3 linked regions of the Saccharomyces cerevisiae S288C genome follow. Changing the gene in region 2 together with the main gene of any one other region gives a genetic interaction. Each region holds a gene or a part of one and is shown on either strand. Other genes may lie near its edges.

What was found.
Region 1: mutations in BAT1 (region 2) and SAP155 together harm fitness more than expected from each alone (negative genetic interaction), as found in Saccharomyces cerevisiae (2 studies listed by BioGRID).
Region 3: mutations in BAT1 (region 2) and SPO20 together harm fitness more than expected from each alone (negative genetic interaction), as found in Saccharomyces cerevisiae (2 studies listed by BioGRID).

What each region holds. Positions count from the first base shown.
Region 1 is NC_001138.5:232,226-237,750, reverse strand, and holds SAP155 (Sap155p), read right to left. Parts: upstream 3,510-5,525; coding exon 501-3,509; downstream 1-500. Other genes in the region: ERJ5 (Erj5p), read left to right, coding at 1-383; OSW7 (Osw7p), read left to right, coding at 4,207-5,525. UniProt on the Saccharomyces cerevisiae protein: Positive regulator of protein phosphatase SIT4. Involved in directing expression of TOR-repressed genes and in dephosphorylation of NPR1 in response to nutrient starvation. Negatively modulates K(+) efflux of the cell by the Na(+)-K(+)/H(+) antiporter NHA1.
Region 2 is NC_001140.6:515,652-519,218, forward strand, and holds BAT1 (branched-chain-amino-acid transaminase BAT1), read left to right. Parts: upstream 1-1,880; coding exon 1,881-3,062; downstream 3,063-3,567. Other genes in the region: SET5 (S-adenosylmethionine-dependent methyltransferase), read right to left, coding at 1-834. UniProt on the Saccharomyces cerevisiae protein: Mitochondrial isozyme of branched-chain-amino-acid aminotransferase, involved in the biosynthesis of the branched chain amino acids (BCAAs) leucine, isoleucine, and valine.
Region 3 is NC_001145.3:305,498-309,182, forward strand, and holds SPO20 (Spo20p), read left to right. Parts: upstream 1-1,991; coding exon 1,992-3,185; downstream 3,186-3,685. Other genes in the region: SOK2 (Sok2p), read right to left, coding at 1-96. UniProt on the Saccharomyces cerevisiae protein: Required to maintain the prospore membrane to the nucleus during sporulation in order to capture the daughter nuclei and form the spores.

The sequences.
Region 1 (5,525 bases), on a different chromosome or scaffold from region 2:
AACAACAGGATGATACCAATGGACTAGGCGTAAAACAACTAACGTTTAAACAACATGAAAAGGATGAGGGTAAAAGTTTGGTTGTAAGGTTTAGCGATGTCTATGTTGTAGAGCCTGATGGAAGTGAAACACTAATTTCGCCAGATACCTTGGATAAACCTTCAGTAAAGAACTGTTTGTTTTGGAGAATACCTGCTTCGGTTTGGAACATGACGTTTGGCAAATCTGTTGGTAGCGCAGGAAAAGAAGAAATAATAACGGATAGTAAAAAGTATGATGGTAACCAAACAAAAAAGGGGAACAAAGTAAAAAAGGGTTCTGCAAAGAAAGGCCAAAAGAAAATGGAATTGCCTAACGGTAAAGTGATCTATTCACGTAAATGATACGTAAGAAGTAATATTATCATGATGAATGAATGAATGAATAGAAAACTACATGGTACTTATACATATAAATTAATATATATATATACAAATTAAAGAAAAGTACAAAACAATGTATCATTCATGATCATAATCATTATCATTATCAGCATCTTCATTATAATTACGAGTATTATCATTGTCATTATCATTATTATCGTTATTATCGTTGTTATTACTATTATTACTATTATGGTTGGTATTGTTAATGTTACTATTACTGTTCTTGTCCTCCGGCGGCCCCAGTATGAAAACCCCATTTTCCGTGTTCTTATTATCAACGTCTTCTTGAGCCCTATTGATTAACATTTCCCTTAACTTGTTGTGTAAATCAGATTCTGTAGATAAGGACAACTGTTCTTCTAGAGACTCAACATTGATTAATTGGCCGCCACCACTTGTTCCATTACTACTCCCGGTATCTGAATCAAGGATTTCATTATTATTACTTGCATCACCATTTGGAGTTAATACAGTAGTATTGTCAGGCAGCTGCGGAATGATGTTACCATTTCCATCATCAATATAACTTCCACCGCCAAGAATTTTAGAGTACATCATTCTTGTTTCGTTTAAGACTTCTTCGGAGTAGTATTGCCATTCTTCGGTTTGTAAAATTACTTGAATATCGGGAGATATTAGTTCCACTTTGTACAATTTAGAAAATTTGACCACTTCTTCGGCAATCAAGACAATATGGCCCATATATCCCAAATTCATTTTCCTTAGCTCATAAAATTTATATGAATCCTGGTAGCCCCTTAATATGAAGTCTGTAGTTATTTTGAAATCAAAATTTGGGTCTCTAATAACGGGAGAAAATCGGGAAACATCCGTTCCTTTTTCATCTGATATGACGATATCAGTCATAAATTGATAGGAGCTCTTTAAGTTAAACAGAGACAAAACAAGGAAGGAATTATAGGAAAAATCCATTCTTCCATTGAAGATTTGCTGAATTATGTCGAATATAACATTATGCCAAAAATTGTTCCAAGGATGTGTTAAGAATAGTTCCATTATTTTGGAAACAATTCGCGTATCATATAGTTTGATTTTGAATAGGTCCCCGACCGTGGGGTCGGTCCTAAGTTTTATGTTTTGCTTCATATTGATGTATGGAATTTCGAAGCTCTCGTCTATTTCGTCGCCATAGTCACTTTCATCATCATTATCATTATTGTCGTTATCTATTTTACCGTTGTTATTTTTTAGGTCGTGATCAGTGTCACGTGTTGGAGAGTGCTTCGTTTTAAGTTGCTCCTTTTCTTCGATACTCAGATCGTTTAATGCATCTTGTAAATGATGGGATAACTGGCTCCTTACTTTATCTCTTCTTCTGGCTATTCTTTCTGCCCTTTTGGAATTCATTAATCCCATATTAGAGCAATGCAGTAACTCGGCGATTAATTCCACCACTTTGAATCTTTCAAATCCTAAAGGTTTAAATTTTTCGTGCAACTGATTTTCATGTAATGGGATGTTGGCGTCATTTTCAATATCTAGAATGATTTGGAAAAAATCGGACAAATGGTTTGAAAATTTCCGAAGTAGATAGCCTAAATATATTGGATCTCTATTTGAAGGTGGATGAGTCTTTATAGTAGTGGTTAAAAGATTAACTTGATCGTAGTCTGAATTGTTTTTCCTTATCAGCTCAATGACAATCGAAACTGTGGTATTTAATGCGGCACCTCTTTGGTTGATCATGATATCGACTAGCTTTGCAATGGATTCGGGAGATGCTAGCTGTCTCGTCAAGGAGTTTGGACCAATGGAAATATCATCCAAGGGTGCATTAGCAGAAATGGCAATCAGAGCCTTTAAGAAATCACCCACGCATGCTTGGATGTCAGCTGGGGACTCTTTGTTATTTAGAAAGCTTAAGCATTTGCTGATCAAGTTTTGATCATATACTAATTCAATTATTCCCGTGGGTGATTCAATCTTATCTGTGGATATTATTTTCAAGAAAAAATCCATCAATAGGGAAATATCAACATGCTTTAACATATCATCAACAAAGCTTCTCTCCGTTCGAATAAAATTTAAATATTGATCCTGCCTGGTTAACAACAGATTTTGGTTAATCTTTAAGAATATGGGTACCAAGGGAGAGTTTTCAGAATTGAAATTTGGCTGGTTGATGATAGACCAAATCTTGTTTAAGTATGATTGGTTTTTAACTAATGACTCGCTAATCAACCATATGTCTAAGGAAAAGATTTCAGATATTATGGTGGCCTTTGTCAAATAAGCAGATTCATCGTCCTCATTCGCATCGTCGTCGTCGTCATTGTTGTTGATATCATCGTTACCAAACGAGGAGCTTCCGCGTTTTCGTCTCTTCTTGTTATTGCTGTTATTATCGTCCTCTTTCTCCTCTTCTTGCTCCGTATCAGATTCCACATAAACGTCCTCTTGTGAGCTATCATCAAGCTGTTGCTGTTCTTGATAATCTATCAGGTTATTCAAATCCACTGTGGTGGCGGTTTTAATCTTCGAGATACATTCCATCAGTTGGTCGACCAGATATTCCATATTATTCACTTTCTTATTAGTTTTCTTATCAAAGAAAAATCCAAAGCAAATGAAGTCAAGTAGCGTCTTGTTTTGTCTCGATAATTCGTTCAGTAGCTCTGTCTCTACAAGCATTCTTTCAATAAAAGAGTTATCCAAATTCTTTGTGGTGACCATCATGGGAGCAGTAGCATTGCTGATATCCTCCTCATCTAAATCAGTTTTAGAAGTTGACCCAGAAGAAAAAGATGTAGTGGAAGATTCGCTAGAGTTCATGCTCCGTTCCTCTTCCTCTTTCTCATACCGTTCTTGCTGATCATCCTTCTCAAATCGACTCTTCTGATCTCCACGTGCCGTTTTCACTTCATCACCATGACTATACTCCTCCGGAATAGAATCTAGGGAGTCACTTGTACCTCGTTCCTGAACGTTGTTGAAAATAGCGGGAATGGCTTTACCAACGCTTGGGTTAATCCTTTCCAGTTCGTGTAGCACATGAAAATATTCATCTAGGATCTTATTAATATTAGAGTGATTAAGATTCTGTCCAAATGGCCAAAACGACATCTTTACTCTGGCTTGTTGTTTTCGTCTTTTTTTTCTTTTCTTTTGTAAAAACTGCTGCTCCAAAAATCAATAGAATGGGAACGGCAGAGACTATAGTCTAGGGAAGTAACGCTTGTGTCTTAATCGTGTTGAAATAAAATCAAAATGAAATAAAATCAAAATAATAAAAAAAGAGGAGGAAAAAAGGGGATAGTCACTCAAACCCACTATCTAGCTTTAGTCTCTCAGTCTTTTAACCGCTACTTGGAGAAAAAATACTGAATCCAATGGTCAAATAAGGCCTTTCTTCTAGTTGCTTTGGAGCGTATGATACCACGATACTGTTGGTTTTGGTTCTAATTGGCCACTTAAAATTATTTTTCTTTCTTTTTTTCTAGAGGAAGGGATAACCCTACTAAGACCTATTCTATAATTACCAGCCCTATAGTTGTCTTTCATTTTTTAGATAAATGCCCTCTTTAAAAATTAAATTAACCCTACTCATTTTGTTGTCATTTCGGCCCTTTTAAGCCACAATACAGGTATCATTTAACAGGAATTACATAATAGTACTTTAGAAGAGACTTGTATGGCATCGAGGCTTCCTTTTTGACTATTGGAAGATAGCATTTTTTTGGGTGTTGCTACTATCATATTTCTGTTACTGATTGACCTTTTCTTAACTAAGAAAAAGGTGGTTAGTTCTTTACTAAAAATCATGAAGGCCGTTTTCAAAGTAACGACTGCTTTGCTGGCTTGCGTGTTTATTGCAAGGTATCTGGTCTGTCAGCAAAATGGTCTGGGAAGCTTTGCCACAGATTTACAGCCCATTTGCCGGCATACTGAATTTTCAGTTGGCTCACTATTCGATTCTAAATTGGTTGAAGGTTCAGCGGTTTCTGACTATTTAGTTGGAAAGTACTCACAATCGATAAAACCACTGATTGAAAGATACCCCAACTCATCCTTGAAGAGAATTATGGGATATTTTTACCGCTTTTGGTACAATATTTTCTCTTTTCTAAGGCTAAATGAGCTCTGCTGTTCGCTACATTCCAAGTTGGGACCTTTATTAAATCATCTAAGGATTGCCTGGTACTATTTAAAGCCATATACAGACAATGTGAAGAATGTACTAGAGAATCCATTTAACTCCTCTACGGATTGGATGAAATACGGCTCCTTTAGCGCTGATGGCACGCTCACCAAACCCATTTTTGAGACAGACTCGGAAACAGAGGATTATGAGGATGATGAGAATGAAAATGAGGATGAGGATGAAGATGAGGATGAGGATGATGTCGGAATTGAGGATGAAAATAAAGAATACGAGTTCGATGGAGTACAGGATGGCCACGGGAACTCACAACTCGTCACTGCTGCTATTTTGCAGGATTTGTCAAAGATTATCATTGGTTCCAATAGCCATGCAGAATTGGAAACTTACGAGGCAGAATCATTAAAAATGGAATATGAAGCATGGATTAAGGCTATAGATTCGAAAATACACAGTGCGATGGCACTTTTGGATTCAGAGATACAGTCTGTGTTCGAGGCCGAGGTGCAAAATAAATCTATAGAAATCACTAGGAATCTTGATGACCTTAACACTACCGTTAATGAGCAATTAGTGTTTCTAGATTCAAAAATCAAAGATATTAATTGTACCTCTAAATTCGATCCTGTGCAAAATAAAATAAAGTATTTTGATGAATCGGGTCAAGTTGAACTGGAAGCTTACATTACCAAATCATCTATCACATCGATACTGAAGAATTATAAAATACATTTGTTAGACTTTGAAAAATCACTGTTTCATTCATTAGATTCTTTTCTTACCGAAATGGCTAAACTGGCAGAATCGATTCGTCTTGAAAACGTCGAAGTGTACGAAGAGTGGGGCGATGTAATGATAAGTCAATGGTCGCAAAGAATGGCATATATGGACGTCAGAGGTCTCCATTTGGAAGATCAATACGATCCTGCCTATATAGAAGAGAATCATTCCAACTGGCTCCGTTTCATGGAATTGAAAAA
Region 2 (3,567 bases):
TCTTAATTTAATTCTTTCCCTTTGTGAGATGCTTGCCAATTTTTGCCATTGCTCTTTGACCTCTCCTGTAGTATCCAAAAGCATGGATCCATATATAAGACCAACTGAAAAGGCAGCGGTAAAACAATATTTCTCACAGTAGTTAACAAATCTTTTCCAATTACCAGCATGAAGAATGTCTATTCTATTCGATCTCCATGAGTGGTATAAAAGCTCATGTAACGACGCATGTGCTTTTTTACATTTTTCACTGCACCAAATAGCTTTGCAAACTTCACAATCCAAATAATGGACCATAATTTTGTGCTGGGTCAAATCATATAGCGCCTTACCACATCGAGCACATGCCTTTCCATTAGATATTAAAAAAAGCTTGTCCAGTGGTGGAATATATACGATAGGTTTATTTTCTTTCAGGATGATTTGGCCCTTGGAAAAATCTCTTTTAGCGAAAAGGCCCCTTCCATGTTCGTCATCAATAAATTTCACTTCGACCTTAGCATCAGAATCTAGGGCTTTTGGAAAATGTATTTTATCTTTATATAGAGAAACGGTCTCTAGATCTGTGTCATAAAGATGGTGCTCATTTAGAATTTTTCGAAAACGAGAAGCACTCAATTTCCACGATTGATTTCTTTCCGTAATCCTGTCATAAAGATGCTGAATCGTAGCGTCTTCAGTTCCGGGCTCTTCCTTCCATAACAAAACTACGTCATCACAGATCTCTTCCTCTGTGGGAGTTATCTTTCGAAAATCAGAGCCATTTTCTGTACCATTATGCACTGCAGATTGATCGCTATCGTTTAAGGTTCCTATTTTGATAGTCAATGTCATTTTTGTGCCACTTTTCGTTATTTTGTATCAGTGCACGCTTGGTTATTTACCTATTTAGCTTCTATTGTTATATGGAGAAGTTCCCCATGATTATGATATCAAGAAAGAAAAAGAAAAAGAAAAATAATACGAAAAAAAAAATTACGAAGCTAAAATAAAAAAAATTACGGCAAGGAAAGGGTTTACTGATAAAATTTGTTATCATTCTTGCTAGTCAGTAAGAGCATATCTGCTCAAGTAGACAAGGGAAACTATCGCAGGTGGTCCGGAAAGTACTTGACAATCAAATGCTCGTCTGAAAGCCAATGAGGAAAACTTGTAGACTGTACTAATTTTTCAAGAGAAAGAAAGATACCGTATGTTTGACTATTCTAACGAGATTTATGCTACAAACTCCTCGAGAAGCAAACTGAGGTAGAATTACCCACCCACAGCGCGATAAGTCACATTGGCGCCCTGGACTTGACGAATACTCCTATCAATAGTAAGGCTCGCAAACCGCCCGTCCATATCAAGCCATTAAATTCTGTTATTATCCTTAAAAGTGAAATGCGCACCACAAGCTTGATGGCATTTCCTTCTGCACTTCTCAAATTGATAGCATTGCCTTGCGAGCAGTAGATAATTTAGATAAAGTGTATCTTGCCAGGGCCTTCCCAGGCATTAACTAGATAATGTGTTCTTTTTTAGCTGAACTGTAAAGCGTAAATGTTAACGCTGGATAAGTACCGCGTGTACGGTTGATTGAATGATCTTACTGATAGAGGCCAGGCGGTTGATACTTTGTGCAGATTTCATACCGGCTGTCGCTATTATTACTGATGAATTGGCTCTCTTTTTGTTTAATGGCCCATCCGATCCATATTGCCTTCTTATGACTCAAAATTCTATTGTGTTTGCCGGTACCGGCCTTTAAGCTTTGAAAAAAAAAAAGCATCTGAAAAAAATGGCACTATAAAGAGAGCTAGTGGTAACAACTACATGTTTTCGTTAGAATAAATCACCCTATAAACGCAAAATCAGCTAGAACCTTAGCATACTAAAACATGTTGCAGAGACATTCCTTGAAGTTGGGGAAATTCTCCATCAGAACACTCGCTACTGGTGCCCCATTAGATGCATCCAAACTAAAAATTACTAGAAACCCAAATCCATCCAAGCCAAGACCAAATGAAGAATTAGTGTTCGGCCAGACATTCACCGATCATATGTTGACCATTCCTTGGTCAGCCAAAGAAGGGTGGGGCACTCCACACATCAAGCCTTACGGTAATCTTTCTCTTGACCCATCTGCTTGTGTATTCCATTATGCATTTGAATTATTTGAAGGTTTGAAAGCCTACAGAACTCCTCAAAATACTATCACCATGTTCCGTCCGGATAAGAACATGGCCCGTATGAACAAGTCTGCCGCTAGAATTTGTTTGCCAACTTTCGAATCTGAAGAATTGATCAAACTTACCGGGAAATTGATCGAACAAGATAAACACTTGGTTCCTCAAGGTAATGGTTACTCATTATACATCAGACCAACAATGATTGGTACATCCAAGGGTTTAGGTGTTGGCACTCCCTCCGAGGCTCTTCTTTATGTTATTACTTCTCCAGTCGGTCCTTATTATAAGACTGGTTTCAAAGCCGTACGTCTTGAAGCAACAGACTATGCTACAAGAGCTTGGCCAGGTGGTGTTGGCGACAAAAAATTGGGTGCTAACTATGCCCCATGCATCTTACCTCAACTACAAGCTGCCAAAAGAGGGTACCAACAAAATCTATGGTTGTTCGGCCCAGAAAAGAACATCACTGAGGTTGGTACTATGAACGTGTTCTTCGTTTTCCTCAACAAAGTCACTGGCAAGAAGGAATTGGTTACCGCTCCATTAGATGGTACCATTTTAGAAGGTGTTACCAGAGACTCTGTTTTAACATTGGCTCGTGACAAACTAGATCCTCAAGAATGGGACATCAACGAGCGTTATTACACTATTACTGAAGTCGCCACTAGAGCAAAACAAGGTGAACTATTAGAAGCCTTCGGTTCTGGTACTGCTGCTGTCGTTTCACCTATCAAGGAAATTGGCTGGAACAACGAAGATATTCATGTTCCACTATTGCCTGGTGAACAATGTGGTGCATTGACCAAGCAAGTTGCTCAATGGATTGCTGATATCCAATACGGTAGAGTCAATTATGGTAACTGGTCAAAAACTGTTGCCGACTTGAACTAATGATAATGAAGGTAAACATCCCCTCCCCCCCCAAAAAAAAAAAACGAGAATTCCTCTCAGAGGATCTGTTTTTCTCTCACTTTATTCACATAGATACATACTTTTTTACAATTCCTGTTGAGTTTATTTATTATAAGAAATATTGGATTACTATTATTATTATAGCTTATGCAAGCCATTGTGCGGCTTCTTACGCTTTTTGAAATTGTTGACCTAACAACTTGGCACATTATTGAATTTCATAGAGACTGCTTGTAATTTAGTTGCCAAGGTATCTCGCTGGACTTTACATGTAAAATGAATGCGGCAAGATACCCAAGAGAGTTGATTATGCCAAAAAAAAAAAATCTATAAGGATATCCCTGGTATTTTCTGAAGAATAAATTCTAGCGTAGTTCAGAAGAGGTGCAAGTACAGTATGAATAATGGTATGCCTTCCATCATCGTGGCATACAGGTTCAGGCATGAAGAGATGATTATGTTCCCTCACCGGTCCATAATCCTG
Region 3 (3,685 bases), on a different chromosome or scaffold from region 2:
AGTACTTTCGCTATTGCTCACGGCACTCATATTTGATTCCTGGCGCATGCGGTTGGACTTGATATCATTCGTATTGATTGGGTTACCGATGGGCATGACAAAAGGACCTTACCAGGGTTATATAAGGATGATTTTGTACTGTGCTTAACAAATCCACTTTCAATTTCTGAAAACAAAGATCAAAAAGGTTTTTTTTTTTTATACAATTGTGAAGTATGTTTAATGAAAACAGCACAAAATGATATCTCTCTGCTTGCAATATAAAAAGCTATGGAAAAGGATTATCAACTATACTAGAAGGCTTACACACGCACAGGCACACACAACTAATGCAAAAGATAGTGGGGAAAAACTTCAAAAACTAACAAAAAGAAGTGTTAAAGATGAACTTTTTTCTTTTGTATCGTCGGCTTGCCACATTCGATAAGTTAATAAAACACAAACGGGCAACACATCTACGTACTTTTTATGTGAAGACAAGAGAAAGAATACATCACTGATACGTGCGTCTATTGCGCAGCACTGTACTATTGCGAAGAACTGAGTGAAGGCAAAGAATGAGATGATCGATGCTTAGCCGACTGTTAAACTTACTGAGCGGTAGCCTCTACTAGTTCCTTAGTCAGATCGCACTCAACTTGGAATGTTCCGTCAGGCCCACGGAAGAAAAAGCAACAAAAGAAAGAAAAACCGGACAACATGCGGGAAAAATGCAAACTGTGTGAGGGAAAAATTAACTTTAAAGATTACATCAACGGCGGGAAAAGATCCTTCCGCAGTCCTTCTACTGCGGTTTCCCTGCAGGCACAGCTAACCGGAGGGAAGACAAGTCAAGCGGACATGCAGTTCCCGCTCAGGCTTCTTTGCAGAGAAATCGGAATATGAATTTTTTGTGTTTTTTGTTAACTTCTTTACCATTCGCATCACGGGAAGAGTGTGTTGGCATAAGAGGCGCAAGAAAAAGGTGACCCACGGTGGTGGGAAAGAGAAGAAAAAGCCGTTTGCGGAAAGCAATGTTTTGCCCATTCAGAAACAATATCTTTGCTGTATCCCTACATGTATTATGCCGCGTTGCTTGTGCAGGTACGGAGTCCCTGCACGATTTTTCAACAAGGTCTAGATTTGCTAAGACGATGAGGCGGAGCCCGAAACAAACAAGCCAAAAACCGGAATTTCGCGCTTGGTGTGCTTTCGCATCTTTTCGTGTGGTGAATGCACCTGGTGCACGCTGCGAAGGTGACGTAGCAATCCAAAAAAGGGAAGTCTAGGCGCTTTCAACCGCCCCCCACCGTGCATGCGGATTGGTTGTCACAATTCGCAGACATATTGGCAATGTTTCCTCCCCTCCTGTTGATGCGGGTAAGGGGTGTCTGTTATGCAGGAACAGGAAGGTAAAAATTAAATGGGCCTTAATTCTGTAGACACTCTCTTGGGGTAATAAGGTTAAAAGCCATTGTTGAAGTACGGAATCATCTCTTCATTTTTTCAGCGCTTGTAAGGAATTAATCCCCAGGAAGGTGCCGATGTAATGAGAGAAGTATTCTTGTTGTATCTCTTTGGTTCGGAGTATTTCCTTCTTTCTTTTCTTTGTAGTTTTTATGCAAATGCAGGGAACAGAGTACCCGGTTAAGGCTGTTAGTCAGCCGCACTCTACACAAAATTACTTGGCAAACACGTTGGTTGGGAAAAGCTTTATACTTGGCGGTGTAGTAATTGTAAAGGATCAAGATTGTGTCATGCTAATGTGCCGCTGTGTAACAACCTTTTTGAAGCGCGTATTTACCACCGGCAAAAGGCCATTGTGTCACATAAAAAAAAACTCCCGCCAAAGCCAGGTTCATTTTGCATAAGATTCACCACAGTACGGAAAATACGATAAGTTAACCAGTAATTTGCTCGCTTTAGCTACTGATAAACCTTCTCTGTTAACACTATTATTTTTTTATTACTTTAGATTTTTCCGTTTGTGAATAGCCATTTTTAGATATATAATGGGGTTCAGAAAAATACTTGCTAGCAAATCGCATCACAGTCGCCACCATAATCAGCACCATAAGAACCTGAAGTTGCAAAATCATCGCTATGTACTTATTTCCAATATTACAGGATCCCATGAAACAAAATATTTATCACCCTTCAGGATGGACAATTGTTCAGGAAGCAGAAGACGTGATAGGCTACATGTGAAGCTTAAATCCTTGAGGAATAAAATCCACAAACAACTTCACCCAAACTGTCGGTTCGATGACGCCACTAAGACTAGTGATGATAAATGCGTCTCTTATGAGGTGCCCGAAAGGGATGGCCTTGCTACTATTTCGTTAGAAGAGGTTTTTCCAAAGTCCAACAGGTGCCAAATACCTGAAGAAAACTTGGGAGAAACAGATAGCGTTATTCACAGAGATTTGGGAAATTTTGCAAATGAGAATGACTATCCACAGTGGAGAAAAGTTGAAAGTCAATATAACTTAGAGAATGTCCAGCCTGAGGAGGATGAAATAGTTGATAGACTCAGGTCCGAGATTAGAAGCACTAAATTAAAATCTGTAAAAACGACAAGCAGAACACTTGAAAAAGCTATAGAGGCTCGATGTACTGGAAAGAGAGTTCTTCAACAACTAAGTTGTCAGAGCAACCAACTCACCAAGATCGAGAGCAATTGTGACATGCTTAAAATTCAATCTAACGTAGCCGACCGAAAGATTGACGAACTTGCCCATGAAAATAGAAGCCTGCTTGCATTAAAATCACCCAACCCCTTCAGGAAGAAAAGGGAGAGAGAAAAGCGAGACCAGATCTACAATTTGAAGTTAAAGCATCGTCACTTACAGCAAGAAACTATGAAAAGAGCCCAAGATTCTGACAAAAATTTAGCCATAAATCTAAGTTCTGAATATGGACGGTATGGCCAAGGGGTGGAAAGACAGCGTATTCTTAGAGATGCCCAGAAGTATCAGTTTGAAGCCGATGAAGAAGATAACCAAATGGAAATCGACTTGTACGGAAACCTAGAACAAATAAAAGCGGTGAGTGGTGACTTGAAAATTATGGCTCACGCTTTTGGCAGAGAGTTTGAAGCACAAAACACTAGAATGTTTGACATCGAGAACAATGTACAGCAGGCAGATAATGCTTTACAGGCCAAGCGATATAGATTGGAGAAAGTGATCGGGAAAAGATGGTGATCTGTTATACACACAAAATATCGTGTATAAATATATTGAATAAATAGTTTCTAAAAAGGCATACGCAGATATTCTTGCGAAAGAGAAAAAAAAAAGAGCGAGGGGGACATTAGTACTGAAGGTCTCAATTCTTCTTTGTATTTTCTTTCGGAGTTGTCAGACAAAGCTTTCTCTTTCCCATAAATAAAGTGCATTCAAACATCGGCAGGTTTGTTTTTCCCAGTTGTTACGTATTTGTTTCCCGTTCCATTCATGATCTTAAACTGGGTTAACTGAAAAATCAACATGATTTTGTGAAAAGTAAAAGAGGGTAAGAAAGATAGATACCGCTGTCGTGGGACTATATTTTTTACAGTACCAAGTCTACTTGCTTCTCATAAAGTTGATAAGTTATAATTCATATAATTTCATTTGTCAAAAAAGATTTTAGTTACAAAACGATATCAAAGTTCAATCTTGTTGGGAAAAAGGAAAACATTATGAAGGGTTTCCGGTAATCA